2 linked regions of the Anolis sagrei genome follow. The protein of the gene in region 1 interacts with the protein of each later gene in a pairwise test. Links are inferred from orthologs where the notes say so. Each region holds a gene or a part of one and is shown in the gene's direction. Other genes may lie near its edges.

Region 1 (3,928 bases):
TAGAAGAAGGCAATGGCAAGCTTCCTCTGAATAAATCTTGTCAAGAAAACCCAATGATATGGTTGGCAGAGGTTGAAGTATAATTAGAGGGACATGAACAACAGCAAGAGTCATGCCAAGCTAGGCATGTTTGTGAGATGCAATGTTACACTGGAAAGGCATAAAAGGAGAATTTGTTGAAAGAAGAGCTAATTGTGGCCCCTTCTAACTCTATGATTTTGATTAGCTACCAATCAAATTAATTGGGGATACATGGGAAATCAATTGGACTGCAAAGAATGACATCCCAATTAATAAGATCAAAGGGGACTGTGAGGAATATAGACTGCATGGCTCTGTACCCAGTTTGGCATGTAATGAGGTTGTTACGCAGCTGCTTGATCCTTTTAGAGGCTCTATCATGACATAGTAAATGTGGGTGGACTAGTCACAATGTGAAACAATCAAAATGTGACAACCTCTTCATAGGTCGTGCAATGCATCTTCTCAACAGGTCAAGCATGTTGACCTTTCATCAATCCATGTGGTATGGCATTATTGAAAGGACAGAGCATCCCTAGCATAAACCTTCACTTTGCAATCTGTGCAGCATCTCTTAGTAACGTTGCTAGGAAACCGCCACTATTTCAAGCACAGCACTGGCTTTACAGTGAAAGCATGTAAAAACAGTTTTGAAGATGTATATTTTCACACAGTTTCAAAAACCTGAGTGCAGTTTACAGCTATTTTGACAAGTTGGTTCATTTAATTTGGAACCTGCTTGTGTTTTCATAGCCATTTTCCATACATTGGTGTATTGTCATGCACTAAACAATTACCACGTTCACTCTGAATCTATGTCTGAATAGTCAATTTCATTTTCTCAAAGGAATCACAGATATGTGCCTTAGGTGAAAGAATCTATCCAATCACACAAAGACAAATCAGCCCTCAGGCAAATCAGAAGTCTTGATTTATGCTTACCTGGACTTGGCTTCTTGCCCACATTTTAAAATATAATTTCTTAAACCTTCTTAAATGCACAGAAAGTTTACTTTTCTGAAACACTGAGATGATGCTATTCTTTGTTCAATTCTCTGAAAACTTCTTATTTTTTAAATATATCTATAAATTAAAATGAAAAAGTTACTCCATACAGTGGAAGTATTGAAATGCCATACTTCTGGGTGGGGATAAGGTGTGCCCAGGTACATAAATAGGCACTCCACACTTTCCTTGTTCACACTGAAACTTGGAGCACTTCAGCTGTCCCTCAAAGAAGAAGGCAGGCAGAAAAGGTAAGGCTAACAGCACATGCTTGGCAAAGGACTGGGTTTTAAACTCTAATCTTGTGAGTCAGGTTCCTTTTTAACCACCTGCAAACAAAAGACTTGAGAAGTTTTAAGCATTTAAAAGCAGTAGAATTCCAATCGAAAAGAATACAAACAAGGCAATGCTAATTTTCCCCTGCACTTCCATGTTCTGCTAACTATATTTATGATGAGAAAAATGCATTTAGCTTTATAAACAAGTGTAATGCATTTTAAAGGACAGAATATTTGTTGATTTTTACTTTCCATTTTCTATTCACTAGTCTTTAGTGTCTTTTCTTTCTTTCTTTTTGACTTCCTGCTTGGCAACTGGAGGGTTTCTTTCATTTTTGTGAAGATGCATTTTCTTATGTTCATTGATATAGCTTCAATTCACTTTTCTGAGAAAGTGCCAGGAACACATTGCTCTCTCTCTCTCCCCCTCCCTGCCTCCCTTCATCCCTCTCTCTGTCTTTCTATGTATCTGTAAATACACCTTCTGGGATTTCTGTCTACATATTCTTTTTACCCTTTCTCACATGTGAATGTTTCAAATGGCTATTATAATAGTGTTGCGAAAAGACTTGTGCTGAGCAATATTAACCCAACCCACCCCCCAATAACTTAAAATACCTACAGTCACACACACAACCCTTGTAACTTGCATTAACAACTCCTCCCAAAATTCCCATGTTGAATTTCCCTGTATCTCATGAAAAAACAAAATCCTGGTCATGTTTACTCAATTGTGTCCTATGGCATTTATTCTAAAACAAATTTAGTATATCTGTTTAAACACAAAATTGATCTCAAATTTATCTAGAAATTTGATCCTTTGATTAGCAGTCAAAACTTAATTCTGAATTAGTGTGATTAGGATTTAGCTTTACTTGAAGGGAACCCAGTTGGGGTGGGGGTGACCATTCAAGGGAACCTCAGGAAGATGGATAATTTGATATATCAGCCATGCCCATTCCACTGAAGGAAGGGAACTGTTGGATACAATCCACTGAACCCAGATAATGGCAATCCCATTCATTTTCCATGGATCTATTATAAATATGACTAGGTTTGTGCTTTAAATGGGTTTAAAATTGGAGTTTTGACAATAATGTCATCATCATTTGTTTCCAAACAGTTCTAGAATTCACCACTTTGAGTCCCCCTACGGGTGAGAAAAGCGGTATAGAAAAACTGTAAATAAATAATAGAATGCCTAATGAAGTATTTGTTATTGTAGGGTATGTATTGTTGAAGGGTACCTTCAAGACAACCCTAAACCAAACTATATATAACAGGATTATCTTCGGGGGGGGGGGTACCATTGGCTTCTTCTGAGGGTGCTGCAAGTGATACATTCTCAGGTAATAGTGTAAAAGTAAACACATATAGGATTATTCTGCTAAAGTATGCTCACATTTTGAGAGCTTTTGGGGTTTTTTCTGATTTCAAAAGCTATGATGTTTTACTATAGTGTGGTATTATTTAGCTAACTCAAGAGAGCAGTTCTATTGATCAGAATGTAGTAGGCTGACCTTTCTGCCACCCTTGTACTAGTGATGTCCATCCAGTGTAACATTCAAAAGCATAATCCTTGTCTTAATTCCTCCTAACAGTGGGGATGACTGGCAGGAGTCTGATGCCTCCTTATTGACATTAGAACAGATCTTCATTGCTCACAATGACTTCCTATTAAAGTAGGATTGGGAAACTTTTGTAATCCCTAACTATTCCTACACCACTGTCTTGATCATGAGTACATAGGGATCATGAAGACAAATCAGTTACAGATATGCAACTCAAAGTTGTGCATTTTTTTATTTCAACCTCTGTTAAGGCAAAATTTATTTAGTTAAGAAGATGCTCATATGCCCAATTTAAGAACCTTTTACCATTCAAGGTTTTGTTGCCATCAGATTTTAATATGATTGTGAATTGTTCGGAATTATATATTCATGTGTTAAGCAATAGTCACATCTGCAAACTCCACTATCTAACTTCTCTTTTGCATTAGCTAAATAATGCCACACTATAGAAAAACATCATAGCTTTTTAAATAGTTCAGAAAAAAACTTTAAAAAGTGGGTTGTTGTAGGTTTTTCAGGCTGTATGGCCATGTTCTAGAAGCATTCTCTCCTGACATTTTGCCTGCATCTGTGGCAAGCATCCTCAGAGGTTTCCGCAAATGTTGTCATCCTCACAACCTCTGAGGATGCTTGCCATAGATGTGGGTAAAACATCAGGAGAGAATGCTCCTGGAACATGGCCATACAGTCCAGAAAACTCACAACAACCCAGTGATTCTGGCCATGAAAGCCTTAAAAAAATCTCTCAAAATGTCAGCATATTCTAGCAAAATAGTCCTATGTGTCTTTACTTTTACGCTATTACCTGTGAAATAAGACTCCAATAATAGCTGTAAGACTTCATTATGGGTAGCCACATATAAGTTTATGTTATATATAGCTCATGACATACATTTGTTATCTTTTATCCATTGCACCTGAGATGGAACAAAGCAATTTTGTGCTAGCATTTGTGATTTAATCCACTAGAGCTGAAGGTTTGTTCTATTTTACTGTTGTTGTTTTTCTAGCACTTTTTGGTTTCTGTCTGAATAAACCTATTGCTTTTTTTCT
Region 2 (3,928 bases), on another chromosome or scaffold:
TATTTCTCATTCATATGTATTTCTTTTTTCTTTCCATCCTGACCAAATATTTACTTTATTGGAATCTCTGAACAGATGCAGAACTGGTTGGGTTAGAATTGAACTCCTGCATCCCTAATGCTTCACCACTCCCAAACAGTCTGAAATATTAGGGATAGAAAACAGCACAATCTTCCTGAATATCAAATGCAGTGGCAAAGTTCGAAAAGATCATAATATAGAAAAGCCTGCTCTCAGGTCAGTCTCTTTTGCCCCTGTGAACCGAGACACAATAACAGCTGGCTCTCTGTTCAGGACAAGCTGGTCTTGTTTGCCTTGGCTAACCTCTGTTCACTTTCACAACAGGTATTTTGCATTTCAAAACTGAAGGAATCAAAATACAAGAGGCACAAACTTCAGGTCTGGGGGGGGGGGGGGGGAGGAAACCTATCAGACATCTTCCAGGGTAAACATGGCCAGGAAATAGTCTAGTTTCCCATCCTCATTTGTAGATTTGTAACTTGAAGAAAGGGGCACCTTCCTACAAAATCTGGAAGGACAGAATAGAGGCAAATCTGTGTTCTTTGTGTAAGCCAATATTTGTTTGTTTTTTTTTCAGCTTGCTGAGAAAAGACACTACTGCTACTACAACTAATATTACTACTAATAATAATTGCTCGCTTGTTGGAATAAATAGAGTTTCAGTGAAGCCACGGCACAACCCTGGTTGGTTCTTTTCACCCAAGAACCAACTGAGGACCCTTCCACATAGCCATATAATCCAGAATATCAAGGCAGAAAATCCCACAATATCTGCTTTGAACTGGATTATCTGAGTCCACATTGCCATATAATCCAGTTCAAAACAGATAATGTGGGATCTTATTCAGCTGTGTGGAAGGGGCCTCAATCTGTTAGTCTAAGCTGCCCTTGTGGTGACAGTAAATTCATTAATCACAGTTACCTTCAACAAAATCCTGACAAATAACTCCACAGGCTTTGCAGGCTTTACTCAAAGGGAAAACTCAGAATCAATAAAGGAGATTTACTGTATAGCGTCATGTGACTAATTGCACTTTAGTCAGCCACATCGGTGTGTGAATTGCTTTCAAGATAAGAGAAGGCATATATTTCTGGACAAAGCTGTAGTATAACCCTGATTGTACAGAAAATAAAATCACGTCTGCTTGAATCTTCCCTATCACAGCTGGCAGTCATGGCATTTGATGGCACCTGGAAAGTGGAGAAGAGTGAAAACTATGAGAAGTTTATGGAAGTAATGGGTGAGATATGCATTCTTTTTGCTTCCTATCAGCAGCCATGTACTATATCATTGCGTTGGAAAGATCTGGAGGTTCTTTCACACTACACATATAGTGCTATGATTCCAGTTTAAATGCCACAGGCACATCCTATAAGAGGCTGGAGATTGTACTTTGGAGAGCTTTCTGATTGAGAATTCTGAATGGCCTGCCCTAAAATGCAAATTTCAGAAATCAATAGATGTTACCAAAGCAGTGAGAGACGCCTGGTAACACATACAGGCGTCCCCTGGGCAACGTCTTTGCAGACGGTCAATTCTCTCACACCAGAAGCCACTTGCAGTTTCTTAAGTCGCTTCTGACATGATTAAAAAAAATGCAAAGCAGTTAAAAATGAAATGACGATTGTATAACTGTGTAGTGTGAAAGGGCTCGTGGTTACTTCATTTAATTCACAAGGTTAGTCCCTGACATTCTACTTTCTTGTCCTCATGGAAACTACTAACATTGCATTCTAAATCTTATTTCTTTGCTCTCCAAACTGGTTTTTCCTCAAAATATAATGGGATTTACATAAGAGTTGATTCAGCCCTTGATTAAACAATCTGCTTCAGTTGAGACCTGCAACTGAAAGAGACCAGCCCTTGTCACTTTAAGTGTTAAGGAAACAGAAACTTGGATCCAGCCTTCCTTCAAGAATAAACCCATAGGACAAGTTGGTTGCGAGTCAATTGATTTTGTAGGGTCTGGATCCTCTGTGTACATGTGTCTTCAAGTTGCTTGTCAACTTATGGTGATTCTATTCATTTCATAATATTTTCTAAGATGAAAAATTATCAGTTTTTATTGCTTGAAGGTACTAGAACAGGCATGGGCCAACTTTGGCCCTCCATGTGTTTTGGACTTCAACTCCCACAATTCCTAACAGCCTACCGCCAGTCCAAAACACCTGGAGGGCCAAAGTTGGCCCATGCATGTTCTAGTACCTTCAAGCAATAAAAACTGTGATAATTTTTCAAGATTTTGCCAAGCTGTTTAGAATTATAGAGAGAACAATAAGAAAGCAAAATGCAACACTCCCCTAAAATCAACGGACTCACAACCAACTTGTCTTATTAGTTTCTTTTTTTTTTAAATATGTTTATTTAGAATATAGTGCTCTAAGGAGAGCTGAAAGGAAAGAGGTGTTTGGTGCACTAGGACAATACGAACGAACACAAAAACAGACAAACAGACAAACATACCACTAGATATGTTACGACAGTATGTCAATAATTAGTTTCAATGGGTTTATCCTTGAATCATGGCTGGATCCAATTTTATGTTTATTATTCTCTTTCAATAACTATCTCAAAATAACATGTAAAATCTCCTCATAACAGACAGACATGATATTATATCCTCACGACAACCTCACAAAAGAAATTAGTCTGAATGATTGCAATAGTTCTAGAGTCGTGTGTGTGGTGAACTTCATCATATGGGTTTAAATCTGTGTCTCCCAGAAACTATTTCATTTTTTCCAGTCATTACAATTACAATCAGACCACCTAGTGGCGCAGCAGGCTAAACTGCTGAGCTGCTGAACTTGCTAGCTGAAATGTTGGCAGTTTGAATCTGGGGAGCGGGGTGAGCTCCCGCTGTTAGGCCCAGCTTCTGTCAACCTAGCAGTTCGAAAACATGCAAATGTGAGTAGATCAATAGGTGCTGCTTCTGTGGGAAGGTAACAGCACTCCATGCAGTCATGCCGGCCACATAATCTTGGAGGTGTCTAGGGACAACACCTGCTCTTTGGCTTAGAAATGCAGATGAGCACCAACCCCCAGAGTCTGAGATGACTAGACTTAATGTTAAGGGAAACCTTTACCTGTATTTACAATTATAATATCAGCCACTTCTGTTATTTTGAAAATGCTTTTTTACAGAACAGAAAATCCTTTCGCTGTGTGCTTAACTTGCTTTTTCATGTACCTTCCTAGGTATTAATTTAGTGAAGAGAAAGCTAGGAGCTCATGACAATCTGAAGCTCACAATCCAACAAGAAGGAAACACATTTATAATCAAGGAGTCCAGCAATTTCCGTACCATAGAAATAGTGTTCAATTTGGGAGAGACCTTTGACTATAGCTTGGCAGATGGAACTGAACTTCAGGTAAAAAAGCCTCGTCTATGATGGTCTGGTCTTGCTTGAAAAATCTGCTGTTAAGAGGATACAAATAAAAGTGATTCCTGTGTTTTGCTTACTGGCATATTAAGAATGCTTTTGTCTTTGTTCATGTTACAGGGCAACTGGGACGTGAAAGATGGTAAACTGGTTGGGACATTCAAACGCAAAGATAATGGGAAGGAACTTTTAGCACTGAGAGAAATTGTAGGAAATGAAATGATACAGGTAAGTTCATCAGAAACAATTGATAGATCTGTTCATTTAAAAAAAATCACACTTGTTTCTTGACAAAGAATGAGTGTAATATTCTTAAACCCTTATTCCTTCATACTGCCTCATAAATACAGAGTGGAATTGGGTATATAAAAAGAAGGCAAGATTGGCTGGCATTTTCCTATCCAAGCCTATGTTGTTTACTGATTTCAGGTTTCTCAACCTGGAGGTTGGGACCCCTGTGGGGAGGATTGTGAGGGGTCATCAGAGGGGTTGCCAAAGGGCATCAGAAAACAAAGCATTTCAC

The links.
Region 2: the proteins of AGR2 (region 1) and FABP2 interact in binary tests that used the Homo sapiens proteins (3 or more experiments, as listed by UniProt). The two-hybrid records come from large-scale screens. The link is inferred for Anolis sagrei from reciprocal best matches to the Homo sapiens genes AGR2 and FABP2.

Annotation. Positions count from the first base shown.
Region 1 is NC_090026.1:96,009,390-96,013,317, forward strand, and holds the start of AGR2 (anterior gradient protein 2 homolog), read left to right. Parts: upstream 1-1,185; 5' UTR 1,186-1,277; intron 1,278-3,928. UniProt on the Homo sapiens protein: Required for MUC2 post-transcriptional synthesis and secretion. May play a role in the production of mucus by intestinal cells. Proto-oncogene that may play a role in cell migration, cell differentiation and cell growth. Promotes cell adhesion.
Region 2 is NC_090025.1:35,489,271-35,493,198, reverse strand, and holds the start of FABP2 (fatty acid-binding protein, intestinal), read left to right. Parts: upstream 1-1,082; 5' UTR 1,083-1,195; coding exon 1,196-1,262; intron 1,263-3,220; coding exon 3,221-3,393; intron 3,394-3,525; coding exon 3,526-3,633; intron 3,634-3,928. UniProt on the Homo sapiens protein: FABPs are thought to play a role in the intracellular transport of long-chain fatty acids and their acyl-CoA esters. FABP2 is probably involved in triglyceride-rich lipoprotein synthesis.